Linked DNA regions of Mytilus edulis. The main gene of each other region encodes a partner of the protein of the gene in region 2 in a complex. Links are inferred from orthologs where the notes say so. Each region holds a gene or a part of one and is shown on either strand. Other genes may lie near its edges.

Evidence for each region.
Region 1: folliculin-interacting protein 1-like (region 2) and folliculin-like share a complex: the UniProt entries of both Homo sapiens proteins name them as parts of the lysosomal folliculin complex. The link is inferred for Mytilus edulis from reciprocal best matches to the Homo sapiens genes FNIP1 and FLCN.

The regions. Positions count from the first base shown.
Region 1 is NC_092352.1:53,339,360-53,347,228, reverse strand, and holds the start of folliculin-like, read left to right. Parts: upstream 1-4,612; 5' UTR 4,613-4,724; intron 4,725-6,357; exon of another isoform or gene 6,358-6,521; 5' UTR 6,522-6,556; coding exon 6,557-6,748; intron 6,749-7,337; coding exon 7,338-7,481; intron 7,482-7,869. Other genes in the region: serine-rich adhesin for platelets-like, read right to left, coding at 141-218. UniProt on the Homo sapiens protein: Multi-functional protein, involved in both the cellular response to amino acid availability and in the regulation of glycolysis.
Region 2 is NC_092352.1:64,614,126-64,622,078, forward strand, and holds the start of folliculin-interacting protein 1-like, read right to left. Parts: upstream 3,110-7,953; 5' UTR 3,046-3,109; coding exon 2,966-3,045; intron 2,885-2,965; exon of another isoform or gene 2,494-2,884; coding exon of another isoform or gene 2,447-2,493; intron 1-2,446. Other genes in the region: uncharacterized protein, read left to right, coding at 4,659-4,849, 5,071-5,671. UniProt on the Homo sapiens protein: Binding partner of the GTPase-activating protein FLCN: involved in the cellular response to amino acid availability by regulating the non-canonical mTORC1 signaling cascade controlling the MiT/TFE factors TFEB and TFE3.

The DNA.
Region 1 (7,869 bases), about 11 Mb from region 2:
GTTCTTTAATTCTTTTTATCAGGTTTATGCTACAAAACTAATTTTTATTGACATCCAATCTTCGATATTTATTTACATATATTACCTAAAATGTCAAATTTTCAGAAAATATTCTTAAAAATATTCAATAACAATGTTACCTTTTCTGCAAGAACTAATTCTACGGACAATCTTGGATCCATCATAAAAAGTTTAGCTCCGAAAAAATCTATTCCCATTACTATATTGTGCCATTAACTAGTATGAAAATAATATCTTTTTTGACACCAATATCATAAAATCTTCTTTTATTTGTATAATCTTTTGTCCATTAAAATTACGGTATTCCCCTTATTATTTTGATATTTGTTGACAACTTGTCAATTGATTAAATCAATGCACTTGGTCTAATAAGTTGAAAATAACAGGCATATTTCTTTTTTATATAGGGCCACTATTTTCTCTGTTGCTACTCAGCTGTGAAATTTACGCCTTGAAACTGACAACAATAGAAAAATTACCAAAACAAAAAATGATTAATATAAACGTAAAAAAGCTTCTTATAAAATTAGAGACCAATAATATATCAAAAGGCTTGGTTAGATATTAATCTTTAGTTATGAAAATCTGATACAATTATTTGTTAATCATATTATCAGGTTTAAAATAAAACAAAGTTAATCTGTTTTTGTAAACTGATTCGATTTACATATATAATATTTATTCCAATATCAATATGATTTTAACCTTTTAGAACAAATGAAGTCTTTAATAGGTGACCATAGGCCAAACATTTTTAAGTTACATATATAATTATGTATACATGTACAAATGTATACTGCAACAGCCTCCACATTTATCATACAACACATGATATCATTTTGTCTAAATCAGCTGAGTGGGAATGGGCTTAATTCATTATTTCAAGCTAAAGTTGAATTCAACTACAATATTAAAATTTAAGGAGTTGTGGTATTATTGCCAATGAGACAACTATCAATCCTAGTTCCATTGGCAGATCAGGGGGGGGGGAGGTTCCAGGGGTTGGAAGTTGAAACTCCCCTTTTTTTTGGTCGATCAATGCATTTGAATGGGAGCATATTCAATGTAGTTGGAACTCCCCCTTTACTCTGGGATGGGAACCCCCCTTTTAAAATGACCGGATCCGCCCCTGAGTTCAAATGATGTGGATATACAGTATTTTTAAGCAAATATTTTCTTTATTAAACGACTCAACATACATGTATTAATTAAGTTTGTGAGCACTCAACCCTACCCCAACCTGGATATGTATTACTGTGTTAATACATACATTAATTTTTTTTCACATGTTATTGTTTAAATGTCTTTTTGATCGACTTAAGCAATTTCAATTGATAATTAATAGTGTGTCTTGTTTGTAGTAATGTTAAACTACTGTCTGAGGTTAGGGTGAAGGTTGGCACCTAATTAGAAAAGGCATATTTTGGGGTGTATCTTTATAGGACCACAGAGGTTGAACGCAGAACAGTTGGGGCAAGTATGGACACGTACAACATTCAATTAAGCTTGATGCAGCTCTCTGAATTTGGATTGTGATTAAATAGTTGACACAGAATAAATGTTGTCTAATGAACTTTTTTTGCTTTTGAGCAATACACTAATGAATATTAATCCCCTCAAAAAAAAAATAATTGAAGAAATTTTTTTTTTATTTTCTGAAATCTTATATGAGAAAAATTGTACCCCCCCCCCCCATTTTTTTTTTACCTCCCCCTTTCCCTTTATTCCAAAAATAATCTCAATTCAAATTTGTAATGGAGTTTGCAACAATGACTACTCATTTAAAAACGTCATAAAATATCAAAAAATAAAATGACATACAGTCTTGTAAAATTAATATTAATTAATAGTAACTTCTACAAATAAATTTACAGCTTATCATCTCAAGACAATCATTATTTTTCATACATAATTTTTAGGCAGTATAAGGGAGGTAATCATACATATATATAACAGTATTCTTTAAATGGAATTGGATTACCTCCCTTACACTGGTTTTAAATTGTCCAAAATATCCTTTAACCAGAAAACCCCTTTTTTGCCCCTAATTTATACTAAAATGATTTGTGGCATAACCCCAAATAAGCATTCCATTGTTGTATGGAACTTGTGGTACTATAATTTCAGAGAGATTTATTCACTTAAACACAAGTTATTGACTGGAAACTACAAAAATGCTTATTTGGGTCCTGTAATTCCTAAACCTTAGGGACCATGACCCCAAAAATCAATCCCAACCTTCCTTTTGTGGTTTTTAACATTGTTTTAAAATTATATTGATTTCTATTTACTTATTCTTAAGTATTATCCATAAACCATCTGCCTTTGGACTATGCTGACAATGTGATACCAATATTCGATCAAAAATGTTTTAATTTTTGCGGTCGTAAAAAAATGACTGATTTGTAATAGTGGTCACTTACTTTACTTGTTGATTATACTTATTATTTGCGGAAATTGGTTTATGCAACATGTAGTATTACTTATAGTTCTACTTTAGTAATTCTTTCTCCTGAGACCGGCCATGTAATTATTCTTGGCGGGACTAGTTGGGACCACTTGCTTCTTGCACATGCTTGACTTCCAGCAAGGCCAAGTTCGTTGTCCCTAGGAACTATAAGAATGAAGTCACTCACTTGGTTCAGGGCAGTCTATTGTGCGTTTGTTTTATCTACATTGGCTAGAAGCATAGGGGGAGGGTTGAGAACTCAAAAAACATGTTTAACCCTGCCGCAATTTTGCGCCTGTCCCAAGTCAGGAGCCTCTGGCCTCTTTTAGTCTTGTATGATTTTTTGTTTTGGTGGCCTTCAGCTGTTGTCTGCTCTATGGTTGGGTTGTGGTCGCTTTGACACATTCCCCATTTTTACACTTAAGATTTGAAATGAGCAGACCCTCATATCGATTTGGCTTGCAAATATCATTATAGAACTTTATTTATACAAGTAGACTAACTGCCACCGAATTTCAGTATTATATTGTAATTATATTCTACCATACATGTCTTTTAAAATAACACATCATGTTTATTTTTACGTGTTTTACATAGTTTTTCCAATATCCCAAAACTTGGGTAGACAACGGGAAAACGAATGGGTTGTAATCAATGTAATGGGAGTATCTTCATGTTGAATAAGATGCAGTCTGAGAAATCATCCTACCCAAGGCTTTGATCATGTATATTTCTTCTTTATTATATAAAAATTGCATCAAATTTGATTTGGTATCTAGTCATTTTTGCTAGTCACTTCATGTAGCCTACATGTATATTATCTTACTTAAGCAAAATTTTCTGAAATGATTTTAAAATTCAATTAGAAAAATGGGTCATCTGTATTTTTAACGGCAATGCGGTTTTCCAGAAAGTCTGCCCAGGTGCAGTAAAATTAATCCGGGTCCGTTCGCGCCCATTCACGTTTGCACCCACTCATGTTCGCCCCCTTTCAGATCAAAGGGATCAAGCTGTTAAAAACAATTATCTTTTGTGTTTTTCATTTAAAATCTTCAATCTTTTACTCATACCAAGCTATAAATACATTCAGTATTATTTACACGAAAGCAATTAAAAACAACAATCATGATTTTCCAATTATTCAACTGGAATTTGAATTAAAATTGGGCGTGAACGTGTAGAGTGCGAATGGACCTTGGGTGCGAACGTGCGAGGTGCGAACGTGTAGTGTGCGAAAGTATATTGGGCGCGAACGGACCTGATACCCAGTAAAATACCCAAAAAAAGTAATAAACAGCTGCAATACCCCCCTCGTCTTGTGTGTGAAGTGTTATGGGAACATCATTGTGAAGTTTTATGTGAACATCATTGTGTATTATATCTCCAAATCTAATGAAGGTTGTAGTCTAGATAATCATGCTGTCCGCTGTGGGCATTTTTCAATTTCAATTTTTTAATTATCCCTGGAAGGCGTCAAAGCAAAAATTTGAAATAGCTTTCCTAGACATCATAATTATTCAACTACTGGTCGAAGGTTGATACCTGTTCAACTAAGAAGTTAAAATATTTATCAAAAAGCATATGTTATTAAAAGTCAATTCAATCATACATGTATCAACAGGCCAGATTATAATTCAATTTTCAATTATCTCAAACAAAGAAGCAAAATTGATGATCAGCTGGTCTCGTTTAATTTTGGAATCTTGCCAACTTGATGACAAATCAGAAAAGTTGTCAACAAGTGTCCGTGGAAAGTAACAGACAGTGGCTTAAGTGTTGAAACGGACCACTTACCTATGTATAGCATAATACAATGTTGGCCTGCATTGCAAAATGGCTTTTGTTATCTATTTATGATAAAGCAGCCGGCGTTGTCAGTTTATTTTCAAGTTTCAACATGCCAGCGCGTCACTCACCTGTTGATGATTCAGGAAATCCAACAATTCAATTCAGTTTAAATTACTCCTATTCCCTTTTTCTGCAAGGAAATTTTTTAAAGACTCTTTCTTTTAACCAGATTCATCACAGGTAGCATGAAATGGATGTGTATTCGTTTTGACAGGTAGCACCCGCCATTTTTCAACAAATGTGTTGTCTATCAATCCAAAACTGAGATGCTAGGCCGTTCTTGATTGGACAATTGTTTAAATGAACGCCAATGAACATTCTTTTGTCAAAATTATTTACTCATTGTCACATGATTCCAATATGGTGAACAAAGTGAAAGTAGAAGTTAAATGAAAACAAGATATTGGTATGTTTACATTGGCAATATGTTTTGTTTATTAGAGCTTAATATGCATTTGCATTAAAAAGGGCTTTCCCACTATAATGTAAGATGTATTCCTAGGTGGCTATTGACTATCAGTACATATTTTGTACTCATTTGGTATGAACTTTCTTTCATTCAGTGATTTGGTTAAGGTTCATGTGGACCCTATGGCTAAAATGGCCGTATTTTCACCTCAAAATTTACTCTGAGTACAGGCAAACCTGTGCATCTGGAAAAGTTTTAAGGCATAGCATGCCCTAGATAAATAGAATTCAAATGCAATGTATGATTTAGAAAATTCATAACTTAACTGGATTTTGCCGTACACTTTTTTTCGTCCCTGCAGAAGATGATAAAATTAACAAACAGTTGAGTTTACCTTGATATGGTCCACTCAGGTACACAGTTTAAATATCCAATTATTGTCAAGTATCTATTGTCCATCTCATGTCCATGTCAAGCAATACAGCTCACTTCAATTATTACCTGTGGGGAAGTTCTCAAACCTGTTTCCCAACTTAGTTTATTTTGGCACCTTCTGGAGGAATGAAAAAAAGTGCACGGCAAAATCCTGGTAAGTTTTTATTTTTCTTAAACATAAAAAATATTTGAAATTTATTTATCTAGGGCATGCCATGCCTGAAATATTTTACAGATGCGCAGATTTGTCTGTACTCAGGGTAAATTTTGAGGTGAAAATATGGCCATTTTAGCCTTAGGGTCCACATGAACCTTAATTAATTTTTAGTTTTTATTTAGATACAAAATTTCATAATTATTTGTTACTGGAATATGAGTCAGGCATTACCTGTAAAAGGGGACGAAGTCTGTATGATTTTTGTTTTTTGTTTTTTTGAAACATTTTTTTACTTCAAAATGGTTAAAAATGACACTGAAATGCTGTAACATTTTGGATTTTGGTTCTGTTGTTAGGGGTTTTAGTTGTCATGTTATGTATGTCATGACGTCATATTCAATGTAAACAAAGAAACGCTATCATCAGGTAATGATTTTTCATATCAAAGAATTATTAAAAATGATATTGGTATTGTATTCCTTCTTATGTTTTACTAGACTGATAAATATATATATTTTGCTCAAAGTCTCCTGACAAAGAGACCGAAAAAAGGACGGAGATTTCTGCGCAAATGCAGGAATTTAAAAAAAGTCTGAAAACAAAAAAGTTAACGATTTTGAATTCATTTAATAGTAGAATGAAATATTAACAGATTTGACTAGTTTAGGGAAATTTCAATTGAATACTTCTTAAAAAAATCATTGAAATACATGTATGTCCCAAATAAATTAAATAAATCATTTCTGAATGTATAGAGCAATGGAAGAATAAAATTATTTGTTTTCTGTGATGAATTATGTCAGATGGAGACTTGAGGAAACCTTGCTAATTTTAGACTGTATGAATAGTCTGTTACAGAAATCACTATATATATAAAGTTCAATGTTTGTCACAGATTGTTTTTTTTTTTTTTTTTTCATATTTAAAATTGATGAAGAGAAGATAAAATTGTAACCATGTCATGCATGTGATCTAAAGTATTGCTCATGGACACAACAACTTTGCTGTCTTTTTTCATTTATTTTTTTTTCCATTAAGATTTGGGTTCTCAAGAGTCAAGACCAAAGAAAGTGAAATAAGTTGCAGTTTACATGATTGTTATTGTCAATAAAGTAGTATTTGAAAAAGCATAAATGTATCCTTTAAGTTTTAAACATTTAAATTGACTTATTTTAAAAGTAAATACTTATGCTCTTTTGTAGATCTACTTCAGAACTGAAAGATTTGTTAAACTATTATGAATGCTATAATAGCACTTTGTCACTTCTGTGAGGGACATGGTCCACAAGTTATGTTTTGTACACAGCCTACACATCCAAAGGAGCAGACAGAATTATCACATGAGGAGGCTGCAGCGTTATTATCCAATCGAGTGAGATCACCATCTGGGGATTCACCGGTATCGTCTAAGTCTGAACATACATGTGAGGTAAATATTTTTAATTTTCACAAAAGTTGAAAAGTTGTAAATTAATTAACAGATACTTTTGAAGTTGTTGTTTTATATATATGAAAAACAGGGAAATTCTGTTGCAAGTTTGAAGATGTATTAATTTGTAGAAAAACATTTCTTAAAACAACAGATTCATGAAAACATTTAAAAAGTGATAATAAGTTTTAAGTCTCTTGTTGTGAGTTGTCTCATTGGCAATAATATCACATCTTTTTTTATATTTAAAATCAAAAACAGTTAAATAATCAAATACCAAGTAAAAGACATGTGCACATCTTTGTTTGAATTAAATTATCCCTTTAAAATGAGAATAATAAGGAGATGTACATGGTGTGGTTGTTAATGAGACAGCTTCCAAACATAATCAAAGGATAAGGATGTTTTAACAACTATATATATATACCGGTAGGTCACCATATGGCCATCAACAATGAACAAAACTTGTACCATAGAGTAATAATTTTTGCATTAAACATTTTTGAGAGTTTTTGTCATACTTAGTCTCTTCTAAAACATTAGATTCCTTTCTATTATTCATTCTTTTGAAATTCTCTTATGTTTCTAGGGTTGTTACTCAGTAAAAACTGGATTTGTTAGCCATGATAATGATGCTCCAATCAGTTATATTAGCAGTAAATACCCTAACCCAACACAGCCTGAAATTTACAGCCTTGTGAGAAATGCATGCTTGAGGAGTCTTAGTGGTGAGGTGAGAGTTGTTTTTTCTAATTGATACAAATATTATCCATTTAAGGGAACTCTACCATAACTAAAATTAAGGAGGCATTTGCTCAGCAGTTTTTAAATGAATTGTGATTTGGGTAACCAGGTCCAGAGAGTGATTTATTTTCTCATATTAAATTTCATGAATTCTAGAGGAAAATCTGTTTGAAAGGTTTTATTTTTGTTTTTTGTTGTCCTTAATACTGAAATTTCCCTAACATGTAATTAATGAGAAAGGATATTTTCACAATTTTATCTTTAACTTGAAGTTAAAGGAAAAAAGTGTATGGGTCATATATATATAGCTTCAATTATTGAGTTCAATGTTTCAAGATTAAAAGAATTAAGATCATCATAAGACTTGTGAGAAAAAT
Region 2 (7,953 bases):
AAGTTCAAATACATTTAATAGCCTGTTTAAAGTTCAATTTTGGACCCTTTAGACCTCAATGTGGACCAATTTGATAAAGAGGGCCAAATATCAAAAATCTAAATGCATGTACATGGTTAGATTTAGCATGTTAAACTTAAAGAAACCCCACATATTCAATTTTTGTTGAAATCTGACAAAATTTAATTTTGGACTCCAATTTGGACCAACTTGAAAACTTGGCCCATAATCAAAAATCTAAGTACATGTTCAGATTCAGCATTTCAAAGAACCACAAGAATTCAATTTTAGTTAAAATCAAACTAAGTTTAATATTGGACCCTTTGGACCTTAATGTAGACCAATTTGAAAACAGGACCAAAAATTAAGAATCTATATACACCATTTAATTTGGCATATCAAAGAACCCTAATAATTCAATTTTTGTTGAAATCAAACAAAGTTTAATTTTGGACCCTTTTGGCCCATAATTCTTAAACTGTTTGGACCGAAACCCCCAAGATCAATCCAAACCTTCCTTTAGTGGTTATAAACCTTGTGTTAAAATTTTATTGATTTCTATTTACTTATACTAAAGTTATTAACCGGAAATCATCAGTCTTCAAGAGACTCTGACAACGACGCAGACATGATACCAATATAAGACCATTTTTTTTTATTTTTGCGGTCGTATATAATAAAACCACTTATTTGACTCATCAAAAGACAGTAATTGTGTATATGTTAACAGTAAAAGAATTCCAGATATACAGAGAATATTCATTATTCTAGTGTTTACAAAATTCATAACAGAATAGACAGCCTCAAACCTCAGTCACACTAGGCCACAATTGCATTTTGATCTCTGAAAATAATGTAGATTGCATTTAGGTTGTGGTGAGTTCTTCATGATCCTGATGACCATGGCCAAGTATGAACATGTTTTAAACAATAGTGGTGCTGTAGTGGGGAAATCAGGTCACAGTAGAAGTGTAGTGACAGCGCTGTTTGGTCGTGGTAAGATCGCAAAGGTTGCTGTACCAAGTTACCAACGTAGCGAAAACGTGATACTAGTCGGAGAGACTGCGCTTTGATCTCATGTCGATGTTACAACTACCTCACTAAGACCATCATGTTATCATTGCGACTCAACCATGCTGTTCAAGCCATAGTATGATTCTAGTCCGCTCATGCCTTCCTTATCACACTCTTCTTACGACCTGACTATGTTCATACTACAGCTATTTAGTATTTTGAGTTCTAGCTATATATATAGTCATGCTCATTGTCACATAACATATATAAAAGCTCTTCAGGTTTTGTTTGAAACATCAATTTCAATTGAACCATGGAAACACAAGACCATGTTCATGGAGTAATGCTTCTACAATCATTAACACAGATACAAAATCTTAACAAGCCATAGGCGGATCCAGGGGGGGTGGCCTGGGGGCCCGGGCCCCCCCTTTTGTGGGAAAAATGAGGTTGATTATATAGGGAATCATTGAAGCATGACTGGAGCATGCCCCCCTTAGGTTAGTCAGCGGGCCCCCCCTTAGGAAAAGTTCTGGATCCGCCACTGCAAGCAGGCTAAATTGTTATTGAGAGATCAAAAAGGACAGATAAGAAGAAATTTAGACAACTTAGGTCCTTTTGAGTTCGTCCTTGGCTATCAACCAAAAGGAGACTCCAGTGTGGGCATCAGTTGATGAAGGAGTTACGATTCTAAGATGAACCTTCCTTCTATAATTTATTATAATGCCACCAGAGATGTTTGATCAACTTCTCAACATGACTTTGTTGTTTCCGAGAAAAATTCTACTAATAAATAATGAGAAATAGAAGGAATGGAACTTTTTTTAAATATGAAACACGGCTGAGAGCATATTAAGATCGTGGAATGATTGTGGTATGATCAAGCTACATTGTATAATCGCAGTAGAAGTGTGATAAGATTATGTTGCAATCAAATAAATCGTGGTATGGTGGTATTGAGAACATGAGCATAGTTAGATCATTATAATCATAATGAGGTTGCAGAATAAAGGTGGTGAGAAAGTACATGTGGTATAATCATGGCGGGATCGTTGCAGAATTTAATTTAGATCGCGATAAGCGTGATGTGATTGTGGTATAGTGTGTCAGTGACTGGGGCATTAGGCTTTTTAAAAACATCAAGTTGTTAGTTCTGAAGGTTCAGATTTTCAAATTTCCTTTAACTCGATACAAGTCAGGCAGTATTGCAAAGAAATTCCGTAACAATTACAAGTACATTTGTACTATAAATCAGGTAAATGTACATGTACACCATGTTCACTAGTACCAAGATTTGAACGACTTTTATAATTGAATAATTATTAATTATACATATACATGGACAAATGTATGTAACATGTAACTTCATGATTCGGAAACAAACTTAAGGAAAAGTGTTTGAAACACGATCACTCTGAAAAGGGTGTCAAACCTGTCATATGCTTTCACACTGGAACTCAAAAAGGCTAAGGAAAACATTCTGGTTCTCTGTTTGAATCTGCATCATTAACTGGTTTTATTCTTTCATATCACTACGGCTGGACCATGAATAAATTATTCACAGATTATAAACGTAAAAAGTAAGTAACTACAATTGATGATATCGGATGTGTATGACCTGGATGGTCATGTGCTTGTCACAAGTTTGTTTACATTTGTATGAACACGTCGTACATGTAGATATCTAAAAGTTTATATATATAAGAATTGAATCGATTGTCCAGCTTTTATCAGACAAACATGCGCGTCGGTTATTGTTATTTTCTTTTAAGACGAATAAAAAACCAGACCCAGTTATAAGACAGAAGTAAATTGATGTTCACTGGAGGACTAGGAGATTCCATGACCAAAATGCAAATTCACAAACCAATGTTTCTCGGGTTTTTGATGATTTTTTTACAACGTAATTATTAGAACCATATTTTTTTAAACACATAACACTGGTACTTACTCGGACTTTGAATCTGTTCGCCATTTATCACCACTACTCCGAGAATTCGGGAACAACTTCTTCAGAAATTGTTGTGCCATATTGATTTTCCATTGAAATTGCCTCACATGACCCACTCTATTTAGGCCGATGAGGTCAAAGTAAAACCTGCTTTGATTGGCTAAAATCGGAATACCCCCTGTTAATCAATACCATGTGACAAACATTACCGCTTTCTTGGTAAAAAATTCACTAGACTGGATTCCAGCAGAGAGTGAGACATATATACAGTCAGAGATATAACTCTATAGGGTTATTCCAGAAAATAACTTGCTTGTGTTATTACAGATACTTTCATGAGTTGTCTACTCTTTATTCCTTAAACTTTCTAAATCTATAATAACATATGCTTGTTATTTGTAAAATTATTTCTTTTATATAAATACTATATAGTGGGCTCTAGGGAACTCTTGTTACTTAACCGGATTTTCGATGTTCTAATGTCACAAGTGATCACAAGTTATCGGTAAACATTGCGCTGGAAGACATGTCAACCTACCTGGACACATTATTCTACCAATTTTTAAGTCATTGGTTTGACCTACCGGGGTTCGAACCCACGACCTACCGCACTAGAATCAATGGAACACGCTAGCATACAACCAGACAATGCTGATCATAATCAGAAAAAGAAACTTGAAAAAAATATTTTCAAACAATACCAAAAATGTATTTCATACTTTTATTAAAGATAAATAAAAATCATGAATTGTCTTATACATTAAAGACTTCCATAGAAAAGGCGCTTCATGATTTTGTTTAAATTAATTATAAATAATTATATTTTTGGTCAATGAATTATTTTATCGATTAGCATTTGTTTCAGTGAGTTAATTTTTGTTAGTGTAAACATTGGTAACTATAGCGTTATCGATTCAAAAATAAACCAAGGAAAGTAATAAACCAGCATACTTATAGGGGGTGCTTATACTCATGAGTTACCTTTTTCATCTTTTTTTCTCTTTTATTAATAAAAGAACCCATCTTCAACCAGTTTTGTAAGGACATTTAAATTTGTTTAAATTTTTTTTATTTTGATTTGTATTCGAAACACTTATTTGTGTACCGTCACCGCTATGGTAAAAGCTGCAATCGCTGCTGCAGATTGGACACACTGTATGTAGTGTGCCGGTAGATAGTTTGAAACTCGAATTTTGATAATGTAAAATACATAATTAAAAAAAAAATGAAAATGATAAGGAGACAACGAGTGGAGTCATGCCAGAATCTACAGGTACATTAGTTTTATATATTTGATAATTATCAGACTAGGTTAGTAATACATGTATCATTAATTATCTCCAATCTTTTCACCCCAATTTTTTTTTATGAAAAACAACCTCAGAATTATTGGTAATTTAAAGTTGACGAGTTCTAATCCCGAAACAAACACAAAATAAAAATGTAAAAGAGGGACGAAAGATACCAAAGGGACAGTCAAACTCATAAATCTAAAACAAACTGACAACTCCATGGCTAAAAATGAAAAAGACAAACAGAAAAACAATAGTACACACGACACAACATAGAAAACTAAAGAATAAACAACACGAACCCCACCAAAAACTAGGGGTGATCTCAGGTGCTCCGGAAAATGTAACCTGATTATTCACAGACAATCAATCTATAAATATCTTAAAAAGCATGGAATGATATGTATTTTTACTTGTCAATAACTGCAGCACAAAAAAAAAATATCAACATTTTCTCAATATTTGTATACTTTAAAATGTATTTTTTATTACTATACCTACATCATATAGAATTTTTTATTCCAGGCTCAATGTATTGTCCAGTGGATTCCTTTATAAAGTATACAGACAAACTGCACCCTGATTGTGATAGGTAAGTAAATCTAGCAGTAATAAAAGCTACAATCTTCAAACAATTTTAAACACAATCATGAGGACCAAAACCCCAAAAACATAAAACAACATTGGTAAATAAAAAAAACAGCTGAAAAAAATCCACCCAAAGTGTATTAATGATGGTATGTATCATAATTGTTCTAAAGGTAAAGAAAAACCAGGTTTTTTAATGTTAATTCTTCATTTTAAAAATTTCAGATTGTGGCAGCGTCCAAGGGATTGTTTTGTTGATGATGACAACGAAATATGGTATTACAACGCACCTGTTGGAGAGAAAAAGCTAAAAACATTGATGAGTGACTTGAGTTTGTCATGTAAACTTAGCCAGAAATATACAAATCATTCAATCAGAGCAACAGGAGCTTCAATTTTGTCAAAACATAAATTTAATGATGCTCAGATAATGTCTGTTACCGGTCATAAATCAGTACAATCTCTATCCGTTTATCAACGGGTAGACACGCAAGAAAAGTTAGAAATGGGACAAACTCTGGGAGTAACTATGGGAGCTGTGCCAGCCCGGATAGAGGCTTTACCTGCACCTCTTATTAGATCAGCACTACCAGCACCTCCTGCAAGACTAGCACTTACTGAAAATGGATCTATGGTGCCTGCTCTTATTGAAGCAGACACTCCACAAACTTTGCATTTCGAAGGATTTGATTTGAACGCTATATTAGGGGACTTTGATTATAATGAATCATCCTTAAATGTTAGCAACACAAGACAAGCTGCCGGTCCACAATTATTTCACAAATGTAAAGTGACAATCATTCAAAATCTAACATTGAACAAATGACTTTCATTCCAAATTCTATATTCATACAAGAAAATACTTTAAATACTTGTTAGTAAATGTGTTAATAAATTCCTATTGTTATTGTTATTATTTTGATATTTTATACTAAACTTGACATAAAACGCTCTCAGTGCGATAAATTCGTTATACGGTTCGCTACTGACCCCCTACGGATCCATAGAGGGTTAGTAAAATCCATAGGGCCTACGGCCTCACCCCCTATGGATTTTACTAACCCTCTATGGATCCGTAGGGGGTCAGTAGCAAACCATATAACTTATAATGTATGTAATAACAATGATAATTGTAATAATTTTATGGTTCTGATCCTGCCTTGAATTAAATGTATGTGATTTTTATAGAAGGAAGATAATAACATCTGTCTGAACTTTTTAATGTTTCATTTTAGTATATAAAAATGTTTTTTCTGTTACCAGAGGTGGATTAAGGGGGGGGGAGCAGGGCCCGGCCTCCCCCTTTTCTGGGAAAAATTTGGTTGCTTATATTGGGAATCACTGAAGCATGACCGGAGCGGGCCCCCTCTTAGGCAAGTCAACGGGCCCCCACTTATGAAAATTTCTGGATCCGCCACTGGTTACAAATCATGTTGTATTGTTTTATGTGTACATGTTATGCTGCCCATCAAGGGCCCTTGATTGGAATAATAATTATTCTTATTCTTATAGGAACCTAAAGCCAAAGAAAAAGCCCATCAAGCAGAAGCTAATTTTTTATAATCCCCCGAAGATACTTTTTTAATTCAGTTGTGTTTATAAGAGTCGCACTTTAGCCCATAAGAGACACACCAGTTTAAGATAAAATACAAAATTTTGTCACAACTGTAATTGCATTCTTTTAAAGAATCACTTCATAAATTGACCAGTATATATGAGTTTGAATTGATGGAATACTGCACCGAGTTGCTACCACGTGCATGAAATCTCGGTCTAAATTGAGGTCTAGCTTGCTGAAATCTTCCATTTACGCCTGCCCTACAAGGAAAAACGTTTTGTTTGGGGCACTGAATAAGTGGGTGCTGATCAAAACATATTAAACAAGAATGAGTATAAGCACATGATTGATTCATGCATGTACCTTCAAGTTGGTAATTGAATGCTTAACAGTTAAAGCGCCCCGTCACGTGCTTATTGGCCCATTACTAATAGCGGACGAAGGATATACATATAGAACAGCCATAGCATAGAGTCAACAACAGCCCAAGAACCAGCTGGATCCTGCGACATTCTCAGGCATAATTGTTCACTGTACGATTTCCACCGTAGTGCGAACCGCTTATGGCGCCAGCCGTATACTATGCATGTAAAAAAGATTCTGCCCATTTACCTATGGTGTCAATTTTTTGTTGTTGCTGTCTTGGTTGTATTAAAAGTTCTCCATATACTAGTATATGATATAACGATTTTTTTATCCCCAGAAGAGGCTTGAGAATTAATAAATATATAGGAAGGCCAGGTCAACATATTCTTGCAATTATTTTTTATTGCAAAGATTAATTTCTTGTAAAGTCATCACTGGCCTTACTGCACGCAGATGGGGTTTGAAAAACTGGAAAATTTCCTGATCGAGCAATGGGTTGAGTAGAACTAGAAGCAGCGGTTGTGGTGACCGGTCCGGTAACCTCTGAACTGAGTGAAGTGGTTTCTACTAGACTTTGTAGATCTGTTAGGCCGAGAAAAAAAAAGATCGATGTTTCCGGTAACCCGACCGACCCTGTTTTTTAGCCCCGACCCTAACTTTTTTATTGGATCTTCAAAAAAAAAAAAAAAAATTGTATCAACCGACCCCGTTTTTGACACAGGCTTCTGATAGATGACATAATATTTTTTCTCTCTTGCTTCTACTTGCATAGAAAGCCAGTTAAACATTTTATTAATGTCAAAAGGTATTTCAAATAGGTTAAAATCAAGAAATTTGCACAGGTGCTTCAAAAACATTGCAAATGGCACACTTCCGGTTTTTGAAACTAATTACGGATCCGGACTTGGAAAAACCATGATAATTTTCCGGATTTCATTTACGATGTCAAAAAAAAAAAAAAAAAAAAAAAAAAATTCCGACCTACCGACCCTATTTTTCAAAATGATGTTACCGGAAACACATATCTTTTTTTTTAGGCCTTAACACTCGCATCTCCACCAGTTTTCAGACGCAAAACAATTCTCTTAGCCGCCACCCTCTTCCTACCAAATGCCCTAAGCATTTTAGACTGAAAATACAAGCTATGATAAATTCTGTAAATATATTTATGTTTCTTGTCACTG